Pelodiscus sinensis: one gene and its partners. The protein of the gene in region 1 purifies or fractionates together with the protein of each later gene. This does not show direct contact. Links are inferred from orthologs where the notes say so. Each region holds a gene or a part of one and is shown on either strand. Other genes may lie near its edges.

Evidence for each region. The genes of interacting proteins can lie anywhere in the genome.
Region 2: the proteins of LGALS3 (region 1) and ECE1 purify together in Homo sapiens (affinity purification with mass spectrometry; 3 studies listed by BioGRID and IntAct, counting the BioPlex papers as one, with this or other methods). This does not show direct contact. The link is inferred for Pelodiscus sinensis from reciprocal best matches to the Homo sapiens genes LGALS3 and ECE1.
Region 3: the proteins of LGALS3 (region 1) and SLC12A6 purify together in Homo sapiens (affinity purification with mass spectrometry; 3 studies listed by BioGRID and IntAct, counting the BioPlex papers as one, with this or other methods). This does not show direct contact. The link is inferred for Pelodiscus sinensis from reciprocal best matches to the Homo sapiens genes LGALS3 and SLC12A6.

Annotation. Positions count from the first base shown.
Region 1 is NC_134714.1:9,299,709-9,303,453, forward strand, and holds the start of LGALS3 (galectin-3), read left to right. Parts: upstream 1-913; 5' UTR 914-1,043; intron 1,044-3,745. UniProt on the Homo sapiens protein: Galactose-specific lectin which binds IgE. May mediate with the alpha-3, beta-1 integrin the stimulation by CSPG4 of endothelial cells migration.
Region 2 is NC_134733.1:3,692,006-3,695,750, reverse strand, and holds the start of ECE1 (endothelin-converting enzyme 1), read left to right. Parts: upstream 1-790; 5' UTR 791-793; coding exon 794-1,066; intron 1,067-1,336; coding exon 1,337-1,423; intron 1,424-3,745. UniProt on the Homo sapiens protein: Converts big endothelin-1 to endothelin-1.
Region 3 is NC_134740.1:2,568,095-2,571,839, reverse strand, and holds the start of SLC12A6 (solute carrier family 12 member 6), read left to right. Parts: upstream 1-1,552; 5' UTR 1,553-1,710; intron 1,711-3,006; 5' UTR 3,007-3,700; coding exon 3,701-3,745.

The DNA.
Region 1 (3,745 bases):
GCGGAAGGTCTATTGACACAGCCAGTGAATGATTGTTTGTGGCTGAGAAACACAACCACCATGTGTACACAGGGCTAAGTGTTGTTACTCAGCAACACTGCTTGGGCACTGCCAAAGGATGACGTGGAAGGTGACCGGGGATGGGTGGGGGGACTGGGGTTGGTGCCCTCTTAGGGTTCTTTGACCCGGGAAGAGAGGCCTAGAAGGTGTTGGTTTTCACATTATTCTGACTAGGGCTGGCCTTTAGGGCTAGACGAACTGGGACGGTGCCCAGGGCAGAGGGGGTGCAGAGAACTGGGCAGGGGCAGTGTGGTAGGACATGCTGGAAGGGCTGGGATGAAGCGGGCACTGTGCAGAGATTGAGGCAAAGAGGGCACAATGCAGGGGTTAGTGGGGAGAGGGGCACAGGATGGGGAGCCCGAGTGCCAGAGGAAATTGGCCCACAAGGGCACCATTTTCCCTGAAGCCGGCCCTGATTCTGACAGGCCTAATTCAGGCCCGGCCTCGCCTGTTTTTGCAGCGGGCTGGTGGGTTCTCTGGGCCCACAGCTTTACCTTTCCCCCAGAGAACAGGCGCTGGGCTTGCCCCAGGCTGGGAGCACTTGTGGGAGCTGGCAGCAGGCTGAGCACAGCCCTGGGGCTCAGGCTGCCCCAAGCCACGTGGGGAGAAGGCCCCAGACAGAGCCCATAACCCCGAGGGCACCTGATGGGCAGTGGCTCGGGTAAAACCCTTGTTCACGCCTGTTTCCAGGGGCAGGAAAAGCCCTTTTACCAAGGGGCGCAGGCCCCGGCCACTAGTGCGCCTCATCCGGGGGGGCGGGCACGGCACGCGCCCCAGTGGGGCCCCCCCGTGGGGACTGAACTTGTTGATCTCCCCCCCCGGGGAGGCAGCCGCCGCGCCCTTCGGGACTCATTGGCTGCAGCCCCGGGCCCCGCCTGCCGCCCCACCCCTCGCCGGGGAGGCTGAGTCTGCAGCGCAGGGAGCGCCCGGCCGCCGTGTGTCCAGCAGGGGAGCGCAGCGCGGACGGTGCGGACACCCCGACGGTGAGCGGAGCGAGCCGCGTTCTTGGGGGGTCGGGTCTCGGGGGGGGGGGATTGGAGGCAGGAGCCCCCCCCGTCCGCACCCCGCTTCCCCCCGGCCAGGGCGCAGCGGCAGGTCGGGCGCCCGCTTGGCTGCGCCGTCTGGCGTCGCTGCTCGCCCAGGCAGGCTCCGCGATGCCTCGCCGCCCAGCCCGGCTGCTGCCTCCCGGGGAGGTCCCAGCTGGGGTGCGTCCCCTCCGCCCCTCGCGGGATGTCGCTTGTTGCAGCTGGGGAGGGGAGGGGAGGGGAGGGACCTCCCCCCTGCTCTGTGACCGTCCTCCCCTCCCGTGTCTCCTATGGGGAAACTGAGGCACGGAGGCAGTAAGTGACTTGCCTGTGACAGGGTGAGCGTCAGGCCGGGCTTGGTCCATGGAAGTTGCCTCTCGACTAAGTGCGTGCGCGTATCTATATGTGGAAGGTTTTAGCGACAGGGCTGCGTCCACACACTTGTGCAGCTGGAAGTCGCTGCCCGTGAAGGCTGTTTGACTCCTCGCCCCCAGGAGCCTTTCGCTTTGCCAGCAGGAGAGCAGGGCCGGGGAGGGGGGTAAAGCGCCCACGGACGAGAATGCTTTGCCTTGCTTGGAACTGGAAGCATCTGTATTATCCTTAGGCCTGTGTGTGTGTCTAGTTCGGGGCTACTCAACTTTGGAAGCCGGGGGGGGGGGGGGGGGGGACCATAATGATATTCACAGCACATGAAGAGGGCCGCAACTTAAGATGTGGTTGCATATACATGCAAATATATATGCAACTATCTTCTTTCACGCCGACAGGCATGAATACAAAGAGTAAGGCAAGATTACCCAACACGCAGGCCCCATTGAAGTCAGTTCTGCTGATATTAATAAAATGCAATAGTTACCTGATTTCCATCCATACGAGAGCCCTTTTAATGAGCAATGGCAGTCCAGAAATTTAACTACTAAAACACATATCAACGGAAAACCATTATATTGACTCCTTTTTTGTTTTGGCTCCCACTCACGGGCTGTGTGTTGAGCCCTGCGTAAAGCCAAACTGCACGGTGGGCCCGATGTTGCGTATCCCTGGTCTAATAGCTGTGTGTCTGTGCCCCTCCCTGGGCGCTGTGTATTCCTAGCCCTGAGGTTGCCCAAGCCTGTTTCAGCTAGAGATGTGAATGAGTGACCGGTTACCTGGTAAGTCTCACCCAGTCCAGATCCCCCTGCCCTGCTTCTGCCCAGTGTGAGCCTGCTGATAGCTGGAAACCGGCAGCCCTCTCACACACATATCCTGTGCGAGGCTGCCAACTGGCTGGGAGCCAGCAGCTGCTGTGACAGGTAGAGGAGCCACTCCAGCCCAGCAGGCTGTGGAACAGCCCCGCCTCCCTCCCCGTTCAGTCAACCAATTCAACATAACGTTTAACTGGTTAACTAATTGAACAGGATTTTACCTCCCTAGCTTCAGCTGATGAGATTCAATAATATTATAATGGCTAATCCATTGAGTTCCTTAATCGGGTGTAGGGGGAGGTGTTGTTTCCTCTGAGGCTTCCTCTGTTGAATGTCTGAGCTGGTTTCTGCTGAATGCAACCGCGGCATTCCTGTTCCTCTCTGGAGGAGCAGGACTGAACATTTATATTCCTGTTTGGTTGTGCAACCTAGGGCTGTGGTTCTCATCTTTTTCCATACCTGGCTCCCTCTTTCCACACGGCAATCCTCTCGTCTGGCTGGGATCCCTGCCAGCAGAGTGCTCTCTCCTCTTTCCCCCTCTCCCCCGCCCCATCCAAGCTGAGAATTCAGGTCCTAAGACCCAGACCAGAAACGAATGTGTATGTCCTAACGCTGAAGACCTCTGCTCGTGTAGCTCCAAAGAGGGTAGACGTAAGCACGCGAGCTGAGAATTTACAAGGTTCTTAAATCAGTATTAACGTGCCCACATTGCAGGGACCTTATGCTACGTAGCAGCTTAGACAGTGATAAACCCTGAACGCCAGGAACTCTGATCACCCCTCTTCCTGGCATTCCTGTGTTCACCACAGCAGGGGGTTTCAAACCGTTTATCTCGTGACCCAGTTGAAGAAAATTCTTGTTGTCCGCGACCCAACAGAGAGAGTGCGGGCTCTGGGACGGGGCTGAGGGGGAGAACTTAGCTTTGGGGATGTCAGGGCTGGGGCAGGAGGGGCTGACCTCCAACAGCTCCGAGTCAGCAGTGCAGCAGGGGGCGCTAAGGCAGCTTCCTGCCTCTCCTGGCACCGCAGACCAGGTTCCCAGCTACTGGGAGTGCAGGGTTAACGCTCAGGATGGGGGCAGTGCAGAGCTCTCTTCCTCCCCTCTCCCCAACATAGGAGCCAGAGAGCTTCTGGGGCACAGCACAGTCTTAGCGCCCCTACTGCTCACCGGATCCCCCTGCAGCAGCGAGACCCAGCGCCCGACACTTCACCGCCCAGTTCTGGGGTGTGACCTGCCGGTGGAAAACCACGGCGCTACTGCCTGGCCGCTCTAGTAACCGAGAGTTTTGTCTTGTATTCTCTTGCCTAAAAATGGAGGCAGGCAGGCAGTGGGGTTGTGCAAGTGAGTATTGCACAACTCTGCAGGCTTTAAAATCTTAAAGCTGCTGTAAATCAGCGTCGCTGCCTCCGCTCCAGCGGAGCTGCGCGGACTTGTGCCGACGAAAGATCTGGCCCTAAGCATGCAGAGACAAGTTAG
Region 2 (3,745 bases), on another chromosome or scaffold:
TCAGAATGCTATTGGCTGTTTCTTGGGGTCAGAGAGAGGCCTGGGGAGCAGAGTGAAGTTGGAGCAGGCTGGTGGCTGCTCTGAGCTGTGCCGGGGGCTGTGCTGACCTGCAGGTCGGCCCAAACTGGAGGAGTGCAAAGCAGGCAGAAGGCACCTTTGCCTGAACAATCCTGAAGGCCCCACTCCGGACTCGAGTTTTGCATGGCCTCTTGTCGGAGTGAGGGAGCCTAGGCCAGGGCACCAGGCTTTGACCTCGAGAGCTGGAGCCCAGGCTCACCTTACTGGGAGGCTTGGGGTAGAGGCGGGGGCGTCTTGGCTGCTGCTTGGGTAGCTGCTGTCTTTGGTCGACAACAGTTGCCAGCCTTCCTGGGAAGGGAGGAGGTGGCGGTAGGGCTGGAGAAGCTGGGCAGAAGTGGCAGGACCCCTCCTGGGTGCTTCAGTGGAATCAAGTGCGCTACCTTCGTCTCCGAGCCTGGGCGGGGGACCCCTCAAAGCTGGGACAGTCCATCCAGTTGGGACATTGTGTCTTGGATCTGTTGGAGGAGGATGGCTGCGAGAGACGTCTGCTCCTCTGGTCATCCCATCCGCCCGGCCTGCCCCGCTCTGGAGCGCAGCCCCGGCGTTGAAGTGAAACAGGCGGGGCTGGGCAGGCAGGACACGGCGCTGGGGTGGGTGGGGCTGCCTGTGGGGGGGGGCTGGCCTCTGAGCACCCTCGGCGCCTGCTGCGGAATGCAGACCTCGCTTTACTTCCTGGTCCCTGCCTCCCTCCCTGCTCCTGTGTTTTGAAATGTGCATGTCTCATGTTCCCAGGCTGAGGCAGGCAGCCCTGCTCCGCACAAGCCTCCTCTTCCCCTGGAGAGAGCAAGTTTACTTAAGGCCAAGCAGAGGGCTGCTCGGAGCCATGGGGGCGGAGGGCCGGGGCTGGGCTGGGCCGGCTTTCCTGTGCTTCTGGGAGTTTCTTCAGATTAAATTGTTCAGCCGCTTGATCTCTCAGCCGCTTGGATTCAGCGCAAGGGAGGACGAACAACCAGCTGGGGGCCGCTGTCCCAGCCAGAGTCTGCTGCAGGTGTTGCTTCGCTTCGACTTTCTGGGGAGGGTCGGCCGAGCGGATCCAGGTCCAAAGGGGAGGTTGCCCCGATTGACCTTGGTCAGACAGCTCCAGAGTCACCAGCAAAGAGCGCAGGAGATGGGGATCCAGCCAGCAAGGGCTGAGCAGCCCTGCTCGCAAAGCGCTGGCTGGCTGGCCGGCCCGCCTCCCGCCAGCATCCCTGGGGGCCTTTAGCTGCACCGTGCCATGGAGACGCTAAGGGAGTCTGTTCTCCATTTGACGTTTCAGATGTCCACCTACAAGCGGGCGACGCTGGACGAGGAAGACCTGGTGGACTCCATCGGGGAGGGAGACGTTTACCCGAATGGAATCCAGGTAGGAGAGCCAGTCTGTGCCACTGCGCTTTGCAAGCAATGTGACTGTATGGTCATTGCAGACACAGCCACCCCTCCCCCAGGGCTGTCCTGCCACCGGACAGCGAGCAAGGGGCGTGTCTAGGGCGCCGGCGCCTTGCTGAGGGGAAGGAACGATGCAGGGGGTCAGAATGGGCCCCTGTGCCCTCCTCTGCCTTGTGACCCTTCATGCTGCCCCCCGGACTGGGTGCCTCTCTCTGGGTTGCCTCCTGACTGCATGCACCTGGCCTGCTCCCGGGGCCGCCGCCCAAGTAGGGAAAAGGGCCTTCCTGTTTACTCCTGGCTGAGGGTGTGCCTCTTGCTATGCAGACACCTGGCCAGGTAAGGGAGAGCTTGGCTCCGAGGCAGCGGGCAGGGACGCTGAGCCCGGGCACAGTCTGACTGACTTTCAACGGGCAGTTTTTGCTTTTGGGATTTGCCCTGGAAAATGGTCTCTTGAATTCTCCGTCCCACGCCGGCACCTCCGGCCCAGCCGTGCTGGCCCAGGGCCGAGTCTCTCGGCAGCCGGGAGCCTGAGAGATAGTGACTTCAGCACAAAGGCGTGGGGCTGACTCCAGCCTGGGTGTGACTCCACCGTATCTGTGGTGTTCCAAAGGGCGCTGCCCTGCCAGGTGCCCCAGGGAAAAGCCGGGAGAGGCTGCGCCAGAGAGGTGACGAGGTGAGAACTAGAAACCCTCATGAGTCGGCCCCTCTCCTAGGGCCCACACTGGGACCCGACCGGCGCCTGGTGCAGAGCAAAGCCTGCTCCGGGGAGAACTGAGTGTTTGTCGTGCTGCTTGCCCTCCAGCGCGCTTCCACCCACCCGCCGCGACTCCAAGCCATCTGCCCCGGCCCGCTTAGTCCCACAGGAAATCCTGTCTGCAAGCGCCGAGGCAGGAAGGAGATTTCTGAGGCAGGAGGCTCCCTCACTGCCCAGACAAGGCATCATAGTATCCAGGGGCTGGAAGCAGCAGCCAGCATAGCTCAGACTGAAATCCGATGAAGTTTTGTAACAGTGAAGGCAATTGGCCATCAGCACAGCTCGCCAAGGGATGCCATCCATTCCCGTCCCTTGGTGACGTGGGCTCCTGCTGGGATGTAGCCTCAGGCGTCACGGGTGAAGTTCTGCAGCCTGGGCTCTGCAGGTGTCAGACCGGACGATCCGATCGTTCCCTTTTGCCTGAAGAGCCCTGAGAGCAAGGCCTTGGTGCCTTGGCCTGGCACAGGCCAGCGGACCCTGCCTCCGTGTGTGTCTGCGAGCCCAGGCCGGTCTCCCTTTCAGCTGCACTGCGATGCAGCCCTCGCAGACTTTCCTGCTCCCTTGAAATCAGCGGAGATTGGCCGCCACACATCCAGCTCTGGGATTTGCAAGCAAACCCCTCTCGTGTCTGCCTTGTGCTCCCTGGACTGGGCCCGCTGGGATCTTGCTGAGTACACGGTACGCGCCACTGTCGCTCCAAGCCCTGAATCTCCCGGTCTGAGCTGAGCGGCATGGGGCGCATACATGGCCCTGGGAGACGCCGGGGGAGCTTTGTGAGTCCAGAGGGTCCAGATGCTGTTGGGGATTCGGTGTGCAGGGCTCTGTATCAGCCATCAGCTGCTGCTGCAGGGGATGCTGGGAGACCAGTTCGGCTGACCCTGGCCAGCTGTGGCTCTGCCGCGGGGCTTTTATTGCGGTGTAGACATGCTCTGGGATCCCTCTCACTTCTTCTGCTCTTCGGTAGCATGTCTCATCCCAAAGCATTTTGCAGCCTGCCTAACGCAGTCCTGCTCCTGCTCAAATCCAGGGCAAAATTCCCTGCGCGCTTTTCCATCCACACAGCGTGGAAATGTCTTTGTGCAACGCACGGCAGCCTCTGGAGCGGACGCACGGTCCTCATGCTTGGCATAGTGTTACTCAGAACAGGAAGCAAAGTATTCTGTGTCCCACGGACACTTCCCGGGGGCGTTGCAGCTGCCAGAAAGTTACTGGCATTCGACACATACAGCAAAAAGGGGGGAACATGTTGCAGCGCTAAGCGCCGCCATCTTGGATTTCTCCCCACAGCCCTTCCGTGACTTTGTTATTCAGGCGGAGCAGGGCCAGGCTGGGCAGCGTCGATTTCTCCATCCGCGCTGGCTGAGCTCCAGTGCGTCCCTATAACGCCTCAGTCGTAAACAACGGTCTGCAAATGGGCAGGAGACGGGGTTCATTGGAAGCGTTTTGCCAGCTAATGGTCCGGGCTGGTAACGTCCCCTTTGGAATGGGGCCATGGTGCCAGGGCTAGCACCTGACCCTCAGGGCTGTAAGCTTTGTGCGACAGCC
Region 3 (3,745 bases), on another chromosome or scaffold:
AGGGGACTGTGGGTCGGGATGGAGGGGCAATCGGGAGGCTGGTGGTGGGGTCGGGGCCTCGCTGACCCCGGCTAGGGCCCTGCCGAGAGAGGATTGCAGGCGGCATCATCCCCTGGCACGCCACAGGCAGGGGCTCAGCTCGGGGGTCAGCCTGTGGAGAAGGAAAATGGGGTGTCCCCTCCACCCTGCACATTGGGGGGGTGTTAAACATCTTGCAGGCTGGGGGCAGGAAGCCAGGGTGACCCCCGCTTCCCTTCCCCGCCACACACTCTGCACCCCCCGAGTGGCACCCTTGCACCTTCCTGAGTGGGCGTCACATTTACCCTTCTAATGCCCCAGCCCTGCATTTCCCCTCCCGTGTGCCCCAAATGCCCCATCGCGTTTGCACCTTCCCTATGCACTCTGACCCCCAATGCCCCTCCCCCACAAATGCCCCTCCCCCATGCACCCTGACCCCCAAAGCCCCTCCCCCACAAATGCCCCTCCCTCATGCACCTTTACCCCAATGCCCCTCCCCCACAATTGCCCCTCCCCATGCACCCTGAACCCCAATGCCCCTCCCCCACAAATGCCCCTCCCCCATGCACCCTGAACCCCAATGCCCCTCCCCCACAAATGCCCCTCCCCCATGCACCCTGAACCCCAATGCCTCTCCCCAACAATTGCCCCTCCCCCATGCACCCTGACCCCCAATGCCCCTCCCCCACAAATGCCCCTCCCCCATGCACCCTGACCCCAATGCCCCTCCCCCACAAATGCCCCTCCCCCATGCACCCCGATCCCCAATACCCCTCCCCCATGCACCCTGACCCCCAATGCCCCTCCCCCACAAATGCCCCTCCCCCATGCACCCTGACTCCCAATGCCCCTCCCTCACAAATGCCCCTCCCCCATGCATCCTGACCCCCAATGCCCCTCCCCCACAAATGCCCCTCCCCCATGCACCCTGACCCCCAATGCCCCTCCCTCACAAATGCCCCTCCCCCATGCATCCTGACCCCCAATGCCCCTCCCCCACAAATGCCCCTCCCCCATGCATCCTGACCCCCAATGCCCCTCCCCCACAAATGCCCCTCCCCCATGCATCCTGACCCCCAATGCCCCTCCCCCACAAATGCCCCTCCCCCATGCACCCTGACCCCCAATGCCCCTCCCCCACAAATGCCCCTCCCCCATGCATCCTGACCCCCAATGCCCCTCCCCCACAAATGCCCCTCCCCCATGCATCCTGACCCCCAATGCCCCTCCCCCACAAATGCCCCTCCCCCATGCACCCTGACCCCCAATGCCCCTCCCCCACAAATGCCCCTCCCCCATGCATCCTGACCCCCAATGCCCCTCCCCCACAAATGCCCTTTCCCCTCCCCCATGCACATTGACCCCCCCCATCATTGCCCCTCCCCCACATTTTCCTTTGCCCCCCGCAGCCCGCCCCTCCCGTCTGAAAAACTACGACTCCCAGCATGCCGTGTCCTAGCCCCAGCGTGACCTCTGACCCCGCTCTTCTATCCTCCCCCCCCACCGTCAACAACGAGCTCGAGCTCAACAACAGCCCTAGCGGCTCGGCCGTGCGCATGCGCCGGGAAGCGCGCCGGGAGGGGGGGACCCAGCTCGCGCATTCCCCTTTCCCTGGAGCCGGCAGCAGCTGCAGCGCCGGCGCGCGGGGACCCCGCTGGAACGCTGCGGAGCAGCCGCCGGCGCGCGCCCGAGGTAAGCCGCTAACGGTCCCCAACGGCCGCCCGCGGCTTTTCCCGCGCTTTCCGAGGGGAGGGGGCGCCGCGGCGCTGGGCAGGGGGGCTGCTGCGCACGCGCAGTGCGACCCACCTCCCCCGCGCAAGTGGGCAGCATAGGGCACCTCCCCCGCCTCACACCCACGGGGGGGGGGTCTTGCACATCCCTTGCACCATTGTCCCACCCACTGGGGGGGTTGCACGCCCCTTGCACCATTGGCCTGGTGACAGACTCTCGTGCTCCCTGTAGCACCATTATGGGGCTCTCGCACGCTCCGTGCACCATCAGTTTCGCATACGTGGTTTGCAGGCACCATTGCTGTCTTGCACGCTCCTTGCACCAGTGAGCAGCAAGGGGCAGCTCTTGCACGCCCCTTGCACAGTCACTTCCTCATAGCAGAGTCCTATGCCACCCCCCTCGTGGGACTCTCGCACAGCCTTCGCACCAAATTACCTGTGCACGGGGGTCTTGCGTGCCCTTTTCACCGTTGCTTTCCCCGTATCTGGTTTGGGCATCCCTTTGCACTGTTGCTCCCTTGTAAGGCTTTCTCAGGCCTCCACAGCACGGGTGTTCACAGGGGCTTTATGTGCCTTACACCACTGATTTCCACCGCCCCCCTCCCGTTGCACACTCTGGCACTAGTTCACAGAGCCTTACCTGCTGATGGGGCTCTCACGCCCCTTCCAGTAGTGCACGACAGACCCACATCCCTTGCACTATTTTCCTCACAGAGCTCCTGCAGCATACCCTTGTCCTGGTGATTTAGTCACAAGAGTCGTACACATTCCTTGCACTATCATTCCTTCTCTTGAGGGGTTGCTCCTCACTAGGATTTTGTGTACCCATCACAGTTTTCCACCATTATCCCTCTCCTGCTGTGGCTTTGCACTCTCTTGTACCCTAGGCACATTGGTGATATGCATGCACTTTCACAATTCTGTCCCCTCTATGGGGACCATATGGAGCCTTCACGTGTTCTCATGTGGGATTTCCTCATGCTCGCACGACTGCGTGCTTTCATGTGAGTTTCACTAGGACCCTAAAGGGAGTTTGTGTATCCTGGCCCTGGGATCCTCTGGAGCAGCCATATTCCCTTGCTCTGCTGAGCATGCTTGCACTACTGACATTTAATAGTTACCTTCTCACCCCAGGACCCTGATGAAAAATTGCACATTTTTGGAATACTCGTGCATCATAATTGTTCCTGGACCTCACGGATTAGTTGCATATGTCTTTGCACCAGAATTTTGTTCAATAATCCTCTCTTTGCACTAGGATATTCCACCTCCTTGTACCAGAGCTGTTTGGAATAGCTGTCACCCTGCACCAGGATCCTTGCACTGTTGCACCAGGTTCACGTGGGGTGTTCGCAACCGGGGCTCTTTGGGATACTTGCTGTCCTTGCACGTTACGTCATTCACCAGTGGGTAATTCTCCATCTCGCACCTGGATCTCTTGGTCTCTCCTTCCTCCAGTGTTGCACTAGGACCGTGTGACATTCTATTGCCGCCTTGCACTGTCACATTTCCGTAACCCACAGACCCCCTTCCTCGAACCGCCTTCCCAGCAGGATACAAACTGTTGCTTGTCTCGGGACACGTGAAACATTCTCCTCCGGGCCCACGGATCCTGCCGTGCACTTCTCCGAGGATTGCCTGCATGCAAACAGCCTCCAGCAAACAAATCATTAACTAAACCAGACAGCCGTGAAATATTTGCCCGGTAAACCATGGGTCAGCTCCGGTGCTCCACCTTTAGCCACACCTGCGGAAAACTCACCTGATACCGACCAGGTGTCTGGGCACCACCTTGCACCAGACCGCGAAGGCGCCACGCTCGATATGAATCCACTCAGTGACGGCACCTGCTGTTACCCTCCTAAATTATCGTTTCCCTTTTTATTTGTTGTTGTTTCTGGATGATTAGAGTTTAAAGCTACCAGGAAGTCGTTCGATTGCTCCGCGCCCGCATGCACCAACGCCACCAGTCCCCGGCCAAAATGGCTTCCGTCCGG